Lytechinus pictus: one gene and its partner. The protein of the gene in region 2 interacts with the protein of the main gene of each other region in a biochemical or structural test. Links are inferred from orthologs where the notes say so. Each region holds a gene or a part of one and is shown on either strand. Other genes may lie near its edges.

What was found. The genes of interacting proteins can lie anywhere in the genome.
Region 1: the proteins of cullin-3-like (region 2) and kelch-like protein 20 form a complex in vitro, tested with the Homo sapiens proteins (2 studies listed by BioGRID and IntAct). The link is inferred for Lytechinus pictus from reciprocal best matches to the Homo sapiens genes CUL3 and KLHL20.

What each region holds. Positions count from the first base shown.
Region 1 is NC_087259.1:10,976,083-10,984,050, forward strand, and holds the start of kelch-like protein 20, read right to left. Parts: upstream 3,020-7,968; 5' UTR 2,914-3,019; intron 1-2,913. UniProt on the Homo sapiens protein: Substrate-specific adapter of a BCR (BTB-CUL3-RBX1) E3 ubiquitin-protein ligase complex involved in interferon response and anterograde Golgi to endosome transport.
Region 2 is NC_087260.1:19,592,292-19,599,251, forward strand, and holds the start of cullin-3-like, read right to left. Parts: upstream 3,020-6,960; 5' UTR 2,228-3,019; coding exon 2,162-2,227; intron 4-2,161; coding exon 1-3. UniProt on the Homo sapiens protein: Core component of multiple cullin-RING-based BCR (BTB-CUL3-RBX1) E3 ubiquitin-protein ligase complexes which mediate the ubiquitination and subsequent proteasomal degradation of target proteins.

The sequences.
Region 1 (7,968 bases), on a different chromosome or scaffold from region 2:
TGCTGCAATGTGACTAAATAAACATGATCAAATCCTGCTCTTGATGGCTAATACTAATAGTACTTTTTAATTACAAAATGATAGCAATAAACAGCATTTCAATAAACAACAACAAGAGCATTTATTTTGCTGAATTTACATTCCACAATAGTTAATAAAAAAACAACTCATCTAATGTCTAATTCACTTGATCTGGTAGATTTAATGGTGGCTGGGCATATTTACAAATTCTGCCAAGTTAATCTCCAATTAAGATGCCTTGTATGTTCCTATTTTTTTTTATTGTAATTTAACTGATCACACCAAAGCTCTTATGTAAAAAAGTATTTCCATTTAATGATTTTTGTCACTGGCAACAGTCACTCAATGAGAATCAGGGGCCTGTTTCTCAACACCTGGACAAGTTATTCATATCTTTACCCACCATCCACGGAGTTAGTTCCAATCTTACTAAACCTGCTTCACAAAAGGCTTCCTAACTACATGTAGAATACCTTGATATACCATCGGTAAATAGAACAGACGAGACGTAGCCTTAGTCACAAAAAAGCATAATTTTCAAAATGAAAAGTTATGAGAAAAATTGCACATATTGTGATGAATTGGGAAATACACTTTTTCAAAATAATAGCACAGGTAAATTATGCATCATAGACCATAAAGACTGGAGCATTCAATTGCTGAGAAAATTAAATTATGTATAATTAATTTCATGACTAAAAATCACACGTGGACGCTGAGATGGGTACCCCCGGGATATCCAATTTTAATAGTTTAAGTAAACCATCCATACATGTATGGTTTTCTTTGTAAAAAACTAAAATTATGATAAATATATACAGTCTTGTATGATTCCAAACATCATCAAGATATAGTTTAACATAAGCTTTTTAAATCTGTGATACTGAAACATATGATTTGAAAAATTCTATGCATAAATTAGAGATAGAATTTATCCAGATGTTAATAGGGGTCTGAAAACGACAAATACGAGTCCAGTTATGGATGGCCTGACGTGGTAGAATCTTTATCCATTAAATTATTTTTATTATTTCAAAATGAATGGTTTTGTGACGTTTTACCAATAGTTTTTATAGTTTCTTTGTGTTACAATTATCATTGAATGCATTATCCCACTTGTTTTGTGATGTAATTTCAACCTTTATGATTGATTACTTAAGATTATAATTGTCAAATTTCTAGGCATTTTTGCATGTCATAGTCTACCCACGTGATGCCACTACGTCATTAAGAAAGAAGTTATGACAGATTCGGAGGTGTCATAAATATTTACTGAGTTTGTTGTATCCAATCTTGGCAAAGAGGGCTCCGTGAAACGGTTAGAGGACAAGTAGCTCACTATCTCCGATTTAGTCAAGAAGTTAGACTGAGAAACGGGCCCCTGGTCTTAAAATGTAAGCGTGGTAAGCAGGCGTGGGGCACAAATTTGCGCTCATAGCCATAATTCAATTGCACCTGTAAAGCCACAAAAAATATCATCAAATCTAGACAGCTAACTTAGCTTCGCAAATATTTCCCAGGTAATTGTACCCAGTGAGAATACATGTATGCGTCCATACATTGGGGAAGAACAATATGAAACAAGATGGCGGTGTAAACATCGGGCAAGTCTCCCCCGTCTTTCCATAAAATTTTTCTCATTTTTTATGAATGCTTGTTTAAAAATGAAATTGATAGAATAGAAATGTCAGATAAGAAGTTGTATCCCATTTACATGATTTAGGGCTAGATCTTTTAGAATGAAAGTAAAAATCTCGGGGGCGAAAGTTTCAGGTTTTTTGGCGGTACATGCAGATGAATGGGATGGAATCCCTGGCTTTGTAAGTAAATGATTTTTACTCTCTAGAAGCCTCCTGGCAAAGTGAGTGAGCAGAAGTGAAAATAAAGATCTACAGTCAAGATCTACATGAATGCATCACTGTTTAAAATATCTGAGAAGAAAATCAAGTAACTCTCAGTCAGATATGCAACGACTAGAAGTTTACACATGTACATGTAATTAAAAAATCCAAATAAAAATGGTGGAAAAATAATGATTTCGACATTTTATGTTACGGCCTCAAAATGCAGCCTTTCTCACACAAATCCCCGAGTCGTGCATAATGTGAAGTGTGAGCAGACAGGGGCACCGTTTTTTTTTTCAATCTGAAAATGACTGGCCGAGGCTTTTTCCAAGAAAATCATACTAGGCTCCTATAGATTTCTTTCAAATTTTTATGAGATTTTTGGCATACTTACTAATAAGAATTTAAAGAACTTTATCAATTGAAAAGTTTTGTGAAATAAAAAGACATTCATGTTAAATCTTAACTTAAATAGTTAGGTGTGCAGACATGGATTTCATACAGTTTCAAATTCGTTCAATCACTCGCCCTCAAAATGCTTTTATGTCATGATTGTGCATGCAGATCAGCTGTACATGCAACCCAGAAGTTGCTGCTTTCGCATTACGCTTGGACCCCTGACAGATGAAGGGAACCGCTAACATGTCGACGACTCGATTTCTGTGCAAATCATATGGCAATGCAGTCGCAGTGAGTTGGTTTTGTCATTTTAAAAAAAATTGAAGACAATCCCTTTTGCAAGAAAGTTCGCAAACATGGAACAAAACTATTGTATTGATATCTTCATTTTTAAAGCATCTCAGCAATCCCATTGTAAGGAATCAAAGAAAATTAGATTTCCAAATTAGATCTATCGAGGCAATGCAATGGCTGAATTTGATGGGGACATGTACTTCACCAACATTTTTGTCAGTACGTGGGGCCATTATAAATATTGATTGCTTCCTGAAAATGGGCTACAAAAAAAGTTTATTATTGAACTAAGAAATCGAACATAATATTATTTCTATCACATATTTTCTCGAATCAAATATTGAAGCATACTTACAGTCAAGAATATTCTTTAATCACTTCTGAAAAGGCGTGAAATCCTACCATTTTGTGGAGGCAAAAAATCGATGGCACCACTTTTTCAGAATATTTTTTTGTTAGAGGATGCGCATGCGCGCATTTCGTGAAGCAATCGTTTTCGGAGACACTAAGCCCGCGGCAAACTCAAGTTTATTGTATAATATTTCGCATCTTAGGAATAAATATGGTATGTTATTAAGCTTATATTATACTTGATATATTAATTAATCAATAATTTTAAATTGTGTGTCTTTCTATTTCGTTATTTATCTGTAAACTCGTGCAGATACCAGAGAAGCAGTCTTTCCTCTTCAACCGTGGATGTGACTTCAGCGGGCATCGTCTATGATTTCGGCCGAAACTCTGGGGTAGCTCCCGTACCTATTGTACTGTAGTGTAAAAGTATACCATACGGCATGCGGCCTAGCTCCTGAGTCCTAGCCAGGCCAGGCAGGGGCCTAGCCCTAGGCCTAGCAGGGCTAGGCGGCCTGTTGCATGAATGAAAGGGTCTTTCGTAGAACTAGAACCATTCTACGACTGCGTAAGAAGGAGATATCGCTCAACTGTTTCACAAAGCCGATTTGGGCGATACGATTACGAAGAATGGTCCTTCACTTTTCAGTTGGAAAGGAAAGAAAATTTTGAAAGACACCTCCAGGACTAGCCTGGAGGCGTCTGGGGAGTGAAAGACTTATACTGTACGTATGGTCACTCCCCTAACGCCTGGCACTGTGTCCTATACTATCCTACACACCGAGGGAAAATGCAACTATAGAAATGCGCCAAACTGCTAGTTATGTTTAGATTCTAGCTTTAAAACTTATGTATAGTCACGTATTGTATTACCGCCCAGGTCAAAAAACCAGTTAAGGACCAGTTCATCCAACTGGTACTGGTACCAGTTGATTCCAGTTAGCGAACTGGATTCAATATGGAAATTGGAATACTGGAATCAACTGGATTCCAGTTGATTCCAATACTGGAATCAACTGGAATCCAGGGGCCCGTTTCTCAACACATGGACAAGTTAGTCATATCTTTATCCACCAACCACGGAGTTAGTTCCAATCTTACTAAACCTGTTTCTCGAAAGGCTTCCTAACTAGAATACCTTGATATCGATACTATCGGTAAAAAGAGCAGACGAGACGTAGCCTTAGCCACAAAATAGCATAATTTTCAAAAAGAAAAATTATTACAAAATTGCAAATATTACGATGAATTGGGAAATAAATCTTTTCAAAATAATAGCACAGGTGAATTATGCATCATACATACTTAGACCATGAAGACTGGAGCATTCAATTGCAGAGAAAATTAGATTATGAATAATTCATTTCATGACTAAAAAATCACTTGTGGACGTTGAGATGGGTACCCCCGGGAGACCCAATTTTGATAGTTTACGAAAGTAAACCATAACGGTTTTCTTTGTAAAATGATGATAATTATACGGACTTTTACGATTCCAAACGTCATCAAAATATAGTTTAACGAAACATTTTTAATCATTGATACCGAAAGATACGATATTGGACAAATTATATGCATAAATTAGAGATAGAATTCATCCAACTGTTAATAGGGGTCTGAAAACAACAAATACGAGTTCAGTTATGGATGGCCTGACGTGGTAGAATCTTTATCGATTAAATCATTTTACTATTTCAAAATTAATGGTTTTGTGGCGTTTACCAACAGTTTTTATAGTTTCTTTGTATTACAATTATCATTGAATGCATTAACCCACTTGTTTTGTGATGTAATTTCAACCTCTATGATTGATTACGTAAGTTTATAATTTTAGAATTTCTAGGCACTTTCGCATGTCATAGTCTACCCACGTGATGCCACTACGTCATTAAGAAAGAAGTTAAGACAGGTTCGGAGGTGTCATAAATATTTAGTGAGGTTGTTGTACCCGATCTTGGTAAAGAGGGCTTCGTGAAACAGTTAGCGGACAAGTAGCTCACTATCTCCGATTTAGTCAAGAAGTTAGACTTATGATGGTGTTGAGAAACGGGCCCCAGTTGACAAATTGTAACTGGTACCAGTTGGAAATACCAGTTGGCAACTGGTCCTAACTGGTACCAGTTAGCAACTGGTACCAGTTGACAACTGGTCCTAACTGGTACCAGTTAGGACCAGTTGGAAACATGAGTTGTCAACTGGTGCCAGTTAAAACCAGTTGGAAACACCAATTGTAAACTGGTGCCAGTTAGGACCAGTTGGAAACATGAGTTGTCAACTGGTGCCAGTTAAAACCAGTTGGAAACACAAATTGTCAACTGGTGCCAGTTAGGACCAGTTGGAAACATGAGGTGTCAACTGGTGCCAGTTAGGACCAGTTGGAAACATGAGTTGTCAACTGGTGCCAGTTAAAACCAGTTGGAAACACCAGTTGTCAACTGGTGCCAGTTAGAACAAGTTGGAAGCACCAGTTAGGACCAGTTGGAAACATAAATTGTCAAGTGGTACCAGTTAGAAACACCCTGCAATGTATAGCATAAACAAAAATGAATCATGTGGATATGTACAGTCCCGATCTTTTACTCTTCTCATATAATCACTCCTTCGTTTTCCTTGAGCACACACACATTAGAATATTGGTACCAACACCCCCCCCCCCTCTCAGGCGGTTATTTCAATTATAAACTATCTTCAATTATCTTTACATTGAATGTCCACTCCTGTTATAACAATGTGCATGGACAAGTGAAATAATTATCCTTGCACATAGGACTGATGAAATGAATCACGGTAAATTTGTAGCATTGTATTGAAACCTTGTTAATTTCCACATGCACAATATAACAGGATTGGACTGTAAACTTGCTCTGGTAAATCAATCCCTCAGTCTCTTGAAATCTGTACCAAAAAACATCAGAGAATGACAAAAGTCACAAAAAACATCTATATGGTATTTAAACTAGGAATTTAATGAAAGAAAATTATGTTACAAACTGTAACATGCTGCGTATAATTCTTGTATTATGTGTCAGCAAAGATCATTAACTTACACAGTAAATATGTAGTCAATCCAATTTTTACATGCTAGCTTGGAGACAAAATTTGAATATAATGCATCTAAGCATTTACCTTCAATAAATAATATGTACTATTTTTAAAGGAATGATAAAGGAGTCTTTTTTTAATTATTATTTATTGAGATCTTGGGGCCCTCACTGGCTCTGAAGAGGAAACGTGAAACAGGTACCTTCCTTTCCTGTAGTGGCACTTGATCTTTGCTGGTAGATGCGATGTATCTGAAGATTAGAAAAAAAAAACAATGGAATGAAAAATAATAAGTACAGTGAATACCGTAATACAAAATTTCAGTGGTGTAAAATTATATCTGCACATAAAGAAAATACATGGGATAGTGAAACTTCTCTAAGTTCCATATTTCAATGATTCAATTATAAATGATAGACAGCACATCATCATTTTTATTACAACATGTATAGTAAGTTCACATGGTCTTGGGAATACTTCTGAAATTGACATCGCAGAGATGAAATTGCCTCGACCTTATACCTATACATTTATTTTAATAATAAAGACTTAGACTATGTATGTTTGCATATGTATCTAGGAGTCTATGTTGCACATTATCTGCTAACATCTGATGGGTATTTCATGATTGTCAGTGCCGACTATTTCAGTGAAATCATTGCTTTTGATTGGCTGAGAAGCACTGGCCTCTGACTGTTACTATGGTAACTGTCGGAAAAAGACAACTCGTTAATGCTGACAACTTTCAAAAAGCAGTTCCCAGAACATGTTTAAAAACGCAAGACAAAGCAAAAAAAAAAATGAAATACAAAATTTTATCCGAGGATTAAAGGGATGGTCCGGGCCGAAAATATTTACATCTAAAAATTCACAGAGCAAAATGATGAAAATTTCATCAAAATAGGATAATAAGAAGTTATTGAATTTTAAAGTTTATCAATATTTTGTGAAAACAGTTGTATGCACTTCGTCATGAATATTCATTAGGTGGGCTGATGTCACATCTCCACTTTCCTTTTTTTTATGTTACTAGATGAAATCATAAATGTTTGATTTTTTCATACATGTGTAAATGATGCGTCTCCATTGTAATGAAATAAGTTGCGTCAATAACTAATGCACCTAATCAGTTGTCAATCCAATTGTCAATAGTTCTTGGTTAAAAATATCTTAATAAACCTAATCTCATATAATAAAATACAAAAGGGCAATTGGGATATGACATCATCAGCCAACCTAATGAATATTCATAAAGACATGCCTAGAACTATTTCACCGGAATAATGCAAATCTTTAAAATTCAAAACCTTAATTAGTTATCAAATTTTGATCAAGTTTTCAGCATTTTGCTCTGTGAATTGTACTCTATTTATTGAGATATATTTCCAGCCTGGACCATCCCTTTAATTCTACTTCTACGGTACCCCCACACATACTGGTAAGTCAGAGGTAAAAAACAACGAGAACCAATTTAATTTCAAAGATAAAAAAATACTTCAGCCTCCAGATTTAAGAAAAAATTCAGGAAATGTTATTTTAGTTCAGACTAATTGTGCACGTTTCATTTCGGAGGTCAATCTGAAATTATACTTCCAGTTCCAAATTCACGCCATTTGGTTATGCAAAAGTATGAATTAAAATTGATGGGCATGGGCCCATGTCACTGGCTAGCCGAGAGGACTCCATGAAGATAATTTTATCATTTTTACATTGTATTTTCATCACGGAGCCTAGACAAGCCTCCTATAAGGTTGCTCATACAACTGTGTAAACAAAGATAGATTTCCCTCGGAAATCCACCTTTCCCATAATGATTTTTGGACAAACATTAAATTTTTACATTTTGTAAGCCTTGATACTCTAAATGTGTACAAAGGCTTTAAAAAAAATTAATTGTAAAATGTACAAATTGGAAATTTTCTTACAAAAAGGATCACTTGCTTGCAGATCTTGTCCTCACTGCCTCTGAAGAGTTCACGTGCGACAGGTACATTCCTTTCCTCTACTGGCACACATT
Region 2 (6,960 bases):
TGTCTGAAAACAAAGGGAAGAAGTAAATGCATTATTCATTTGTACTTTACACTACGTCTACTATACACCCATTTAACGTATCCGTATCAGCCAACAGGGTACTTGTACATGTACTGTATGTACTGTATGTAGGCTCACATGCAATGACATCAACATTCCATTTCAATTACCCAAATCCAACATGTACATGTAGGCCTACATGTACAATTTATACATGTACCAAGGATATTTTCCAAATATGTAAACCTTAGTTGGTCAACATAAATATTTAAAAAAATTAGTTCAAACTAAAGATGTGCATGTAACACACAAGTAAAACTACGGTAGAAAACACTACAAAGTGCATTACATGTAGTGAAGTTAGTGGAAATTATTAGTATTCTTAATTTTACCCGTACTACATTTGGAAGTAAAATAAAGGGGGGGGGGTTGGGCTAGAACAACTCAATATCCATAACCTGGATCCTGTTTTTAACTACATGTATGTACATGTCTATGTATGTGTGTGTACTTGTAATCACCAAGAAAATGTAATTCGTTGAAAACTGTAGTTCTCATTAGATGAAAACAGAACTCTCTAAAGCTTTGTTGTACTTAGCTTTGCCATCCTAGGAGTAAATCATGAAGCATCATCGCATTACTCATTTCAGGCATGATATTTCCCTTGAAAAAGAATCTGAAAAATAGCCAAGGGTGGCTAAGTCCCCGCCGGAGTCCGAGAAGCCCCTGTCGGGGTTACAAGCTCTTGCATAGTGAAATTGATAGTGATTTTTCAAGGTAAGTCTGCATGATAGCTTTATCATTTAACTTGAAAAAGCAGTAAAAAACTGCATGAGAATGTTCTTGGGCAAAGGATTTCACGTAAAAAAACTAAAAATCAAAAATTAGAAAATCTGAAAAAATATCATGCCTGTCTTTTTAATGACAAATTTGCTCTGAACCAATGAAATGCAAAGATTTCATTGAATGGCAACAATGTCATACAAACTGTTATGCAATACTGTAGGTCCTGGGACAGGTTGGGGTGTTAACTTGGTAAAAACACATATTTCTTTTTTTTTTTTTTGAACATTTGGTGAAACTGTACTTACATGTACATATACATGTATTATCTACATGTATCAAATAACATGAACACATGTACATGTAGGAGAAGTGAGGGGGGGGGGAACGATGTCCAAACACCAGTTAAATCTATCAAAAAAACTGTCTATTTTTTCATATCTGGGTTTCCTTTAAAAAAAAAAGGAGTAGCAGAAATGACTGAAAGTTTATGCATCAATTGTCTCATATTACTTTCAAACAATTTAATGTCCAAACGCAAGTTAAATCTTCACGTCTCGCAAAAACTATTATCTTTTCTTTTTTTTATATCTAGGTTTTCTAGCAAAAAAAAAAGAGTAGCAGAAATAATTGTTTCGTCTAATATTACTCCTGTCTTGATATTGCCGACTTGTCCAGATAAACGACCCGCCCGGGCCATATCGTAACCTTGTTCATAGAATGAGTGCGCCCGGGCACACAACTGGGTACATGTACCTGACGAGGTATATACCCAGTTGTTGTGTGTCCGGACAGGTTGTGTGTCCGGACGATCAATTTTAGAAAGTCATTTGGAAAAAATTACAAGCGAAGTGTCATCAATTTTTAGTACAAAATGTGAGGAAATATTATAGAGAACAAAATATAAGATGATTACAACTATTGAATTCATATTTTTAGTGTAATCTTAAGACAAAAAAGAAGGCTTCAAAAATATAAAGTATCCGGAACAGGCGCTCTAACCGACTGAGCTACACTGCCTCCACTAAGTAAGACTCTAAGACTCTAGAAAATGGACAAACAATAATATAGAAATTGACGCAAAATATCAGCTGGGCATGAACGCTTTGTCTGTTTAGCCTTTGTCTAGTTGGTCAATTGTTGTCTAGACTGACTCGAGAGATCCTAGGCCATTTTTTTTCCATAAAAATTCCATGTTAAGTCCTAAAAGGCTAAAGTAATTGTTGTCTGTTGTTGAGTCCCGGCCCCCCCCCCCCCCTCAAACACAAATTATGTTTTTGCAATCCCAATAACACCTTAGTTCTTGACTTAATAAAAATAATAAACATTCTACGATAAACAATCTGTGTAACTTAGATATCTGAATTGCAGAACATACTGGAAAGGCACGAATCCTCATTCGAGAGTCTTTCTTCGGCGGTGGTGCTTTCATCGAGTTACTCATGTTGGCGACGTTGTTCTGGATAATTCAAAAATGACAGGAAAAAAAACACAAGACAAGTCAAGTGTCAAGTCAGTCTACTTGCAACAGTTTGAGGGCTCTTTTCTGTAGAATTTCCAGAGCCTATGAAAAATTATTCAGTGGAGTCATATTGGATCATGCCACTTCAATTGAGGCATCCGAGTATATGAAATAATTGTTATATTTTGAGAGTTTGTCGAATCTGGTGCAACCATAACACGGGTGATTCACTGCATTGCGTTCACTGTGTTTACGGATGTAGGCGAGCTCGAAGACTTGTTCTTCATGGACTCCGCTATTGCTGCACCTTCGTTTTATGTGGATTCGCGAATTCTATTTTGGAACAGTGACTCAGCTGGGTAGTTTATTCTGAACTAGTTTCATCGAATCTCCGGACATCTATTTGAAATTTCATGATGGGTCACTGATAAAGTGTAGTCGAAGGCTCAGGATATCCTCCAAAAAGGTACTCACAGTACGCCAAAAGTGCAAAAATACGCACTTTTCTGACAATATTTATAGCATTCAACACATGAACGAAGCCTCAACACTTGACCCGATTTGTACACAGTTGGAGAACTACTTTCTTCCACCAAAATTCTTTGCCCCACATTTCTTTTCGAAAGATAATAGCAAGTAACTTTTCATATTTTCAACCAACTGTGATTGCTTTCTTTTGATTGTGTTATATTCTATCTCCAGATTCAGATTTGATTCAGAGAACTAACGATAAGCGAATGGATATTATTTTACAGTGAAGTGCAATTCGCCTCTAGTATTCCACGGTTGTGACGTCATAGGTCATGACCATCCATTGGGCCTACTCTGCAAAATATGTTTTGCTGAATTATGACAAAACAAAAGAAAGAAGAAATGGAAAGGGGGGAAAAACAGAGATAAATTATTCAGGCAAATGGCAGTTCCAATGAATACCAACAAATAATCTGAAATATATATATATATCAGTTAACGATATGACGACAAAAATTCAAAGGCGAATTCATCTTAAACGTATTTAGGTGAAATATAATACTTCAAATGGTAGGTAATTCTCTGTAGCCTACCTTCAATATATGTCATTGTTATAATTAAAAAGCACTGAAAACTGTAAATTGTTATGCTTATAGATATTTATAACTCTATAGAGAACTCTAAGATTCAGCTGTGCCTTACATTCTAATAATGATACAAAAATAGTGATTGGTTGTATTTTTTGTTGATTATTTAGATTTTTGTGCTTTATATATATGATAAACCGTGAATGTGATTATATATATAATTTTTTTACGTAAATCGTGGATTATGAGTAAAAACATTTTTAAAGTGATAATCCTTTCAAACACTCAAAGACGAAACTGAGTTATATTCAGATTTGAAAAAAAAATATTGAATAAAAAATGGCTAACACAAATTATGTGTCTACATAGTCACGCCAAGAAACTTTTTTTTTCCAAGCAATCATGTTAAACTCTGCATGGATATTGATTTTCAATAAATCTAATTTGCAAGTGTCACTCTGATGCAGCGGCTATTCACTTTTTCCATATACAAATATAATATTAAATTTGCACACCAACATTCTCTAACAATAATTAAGGAAAAGAAAGAATTAGGAAAACAAACTCTACACATTTTAGCTGACAAGCAGGGGCGGCTATCCGGGGGGGGGCACAGTGCCCCCACACGTACTTTTTGAAGCCCTGAAAAAGTGCCCTTTTTTACGCAAGAAGAATGCCCCCTCACGAACGTTTGCATGTTCCCCTTTCACCTGAGGAGGACCCGTTTTAGGTGTTTGCCCTTTCTCGTATAAGTGCCAATTTTATTTCGCAAAATGCCCCCTCTCAAACGATTTATGTGCCCCTTTTACCTGAGAAGGACCCGATTTGTGATTGTGTCAGAAATTTGCAATTTCTCGAATCTTTGCCAATTTTTACCAAAATGCACCCACACGAACGTATTCTGTGCCCTTTTTACCTGAGAAGGACCCGTTTTAACGGTGTGAGCAAGTGCTCCCTGATATTGTTGGCTAGCAGCCCCCCCCCCATTTTACCCAAGAAAGGTGCCCCTCACGAATGTGTTGTGTGCCCCTTGAAGGACCCGTTTTATGTGTGAACAAGTGCCCCTTCCTTCTTCTTTGTGTCCTATTTCGTATTAGTCCCCCTTTTTACCCAAGCAAGAAAGTGCCCCACACGAACGTGTTCTGTGCCCCTTTCACCTGCATGAGAAGGACCCATTATAACGGGCTCGGTGTAAAAATGACACTGAGGTAAAAATGGCAGAGGTAAAAATGGCAGAGGTGGTGGCAGAGATAAAAATGGCAGAGGTAATAATGGCAGAGGTAAAATGGCAGAGGTAAAAATGGCAGAGGTCATATTGGAATAGGCCTAGGTAAAATCGTCTTAAACCCCCATGCAAAAAATGAATAAATAATGAAAAATAATAGAAAGGGTCACATCTTTAAAATCATCTAGATAGATCGTCTGCACCAAATTGATAATCTTTTGGTTGGAATATCTTATTTTTTCTGGACTCTCATGGACGGCCTTCTCATGTCAAATCGCTGTACTAATATTCAAATTTGAGGCACACTCTAGATCGCAATTGTATTTAATTCATTAAAGGGGAAGTCCAACCTCACATAAAATTCATTGTAGAATAGCAGAAAATAGTAAAATGATATTGGTGAGGGTTTTAGGAAATCCATCAAAGATTAAAAAGCTATACTTTTATACTTTTATGATAACGTCATTTGCGAGCAGTTTTCCCATATTTGGTGTATAAAAAAATCAATGAAATGTAATTTTCTAGAAAAAAAATCAAAATGGTTTTTATTGTTTCTTCAGTAGGCCTATATATCAAGAGACAAATCATTTCACTTACGCTCCTGAAATATTTTTTAAAAACAATTACGAACCATTTTGTAGTGCGTAAAATGTCATGGGACAGTTTCCCATATATGACGTCACAGACTAAAACTTAAACTTCTAATAACTTTCTTGATCTTTGATGGATTTTTCCTCAAGCCTTCACCAATTTTCTGCTATTTTTATTGTTCATTAGGGCAAACTACCTCTTCAAACAGCCCCCAGAGAATGGTACCTATATATAAGAAACACCCATAAATTTAAATCCCTAATTGGCTACACATTTCAAAATTCATGAGGTAACAGTGACCATAATACACTAGTTTGGGAACCTGACATCCACTTGGACTATAGCTGCAATGAGGTATTGCTCTAAAGACTGAACAATAATTGTAACATTTACATTTAATTATACGTATCACATTAATCAGGGGCAGATCCAGGATTTTCCAAGGGGGGCACATTATTTTTCCTGAAAAATGACACGCAAAAACAGTTTTCCACCTACAACTTAAGGTAATTCGTCCACAAAAATAATAAGCAAGCAAAAAAAGTCCTCGCTTTAAAAGGGGGACACATTTGAGTTAGAACCGCACATTTGCTAAGATTTTAATTGTACCTCTCAAGGGGGGCACGGGCCGGCTGTGCCCCCTGGATTTATTTATTCATTTTATTTATTGATATATTCATATTCCACAAGTCATCAAAGTATCTTTCGTAATAAATCATTTTTACAATGAAAAGATGCATCAACTGCATAACACATACAGGATTGAAACGTATACCAATGAAATGAAAAAAAGTGGAGGGGCATACTAAAAAAGCAAAGCTTGTAAAATGTAGACCCCCTATCAAAATTGTATACAAGGGTAATATGATATAAGTATATAGTAAAAATAATCAGCAAAATTCTATAAATTTACATAGATAGAAACACTGTAACACAAATGTTTATACACTATATACAAAATTAAATATTGACTTTAAAATAATCAACACTACCGTGCATGGATAAGCATGAAGTTCACAAAATATTTGATTAAATCAATAAGAATTCAGAAGAAATTTTTTTATGAGTAATTTAAATCGGTTCAGATTAGCTGCCTCTTTTATTACTCTGTCCAGAGAATTCCAGAGTTTTGGTCCTGTGAAAAATAGTTTTGCTAGAAAATACTGTTCTACTTTTAGGTATAAGTGATAGTCATTTGACTGTCTCGTATTATGAATGCAAAGTATTGTTTCTCATAAATTTCTTTTGTAGGCCATTAGGTACACTATTTCTATTTAGCTGATACATGAATTGGAATAGTTGTAAGCGGTACAGGTCACTGACTGTAAGGATACGTTTCTGACGAAACAATTCATCCGTATGAGCTCTAAAGGACATATTGCATATTATTCTCAGTACTTTTTCTGAAGTAGCAAGACTTTATTGAGTCTCGTTTGAGAGGCATTACCCCATGCCAGAATCCCATAATTAAGATATGGTAAAAATTATTGCACAATATAACATGAATAGCGCCTGTGCTGGAAGAACGTTTTTAAGCTTATTGATGACTCCAATATTTCTTGCCACAGTTTTGCAAATATTGTTGATATGAGCATTCAACGTAAGCTTGTTATCAATAGTAAGACCTAAAAATTTTGTTGTTTGGATCCGCCAGTGACATCAATATCTATTCATCATGATCCATCATGATGTGGAAATAAAGAAAATTACTTTTATTACAGAATGTTCAATTATTTTTTGTTATCCAGCTTAAATTATGAAAGTAGTTTGAAGTAGACCCGAACTTGTTTGTTTCAGAGGGTTAATGGCTGCACACATTGATGTTTACATTAAAAAAAAAT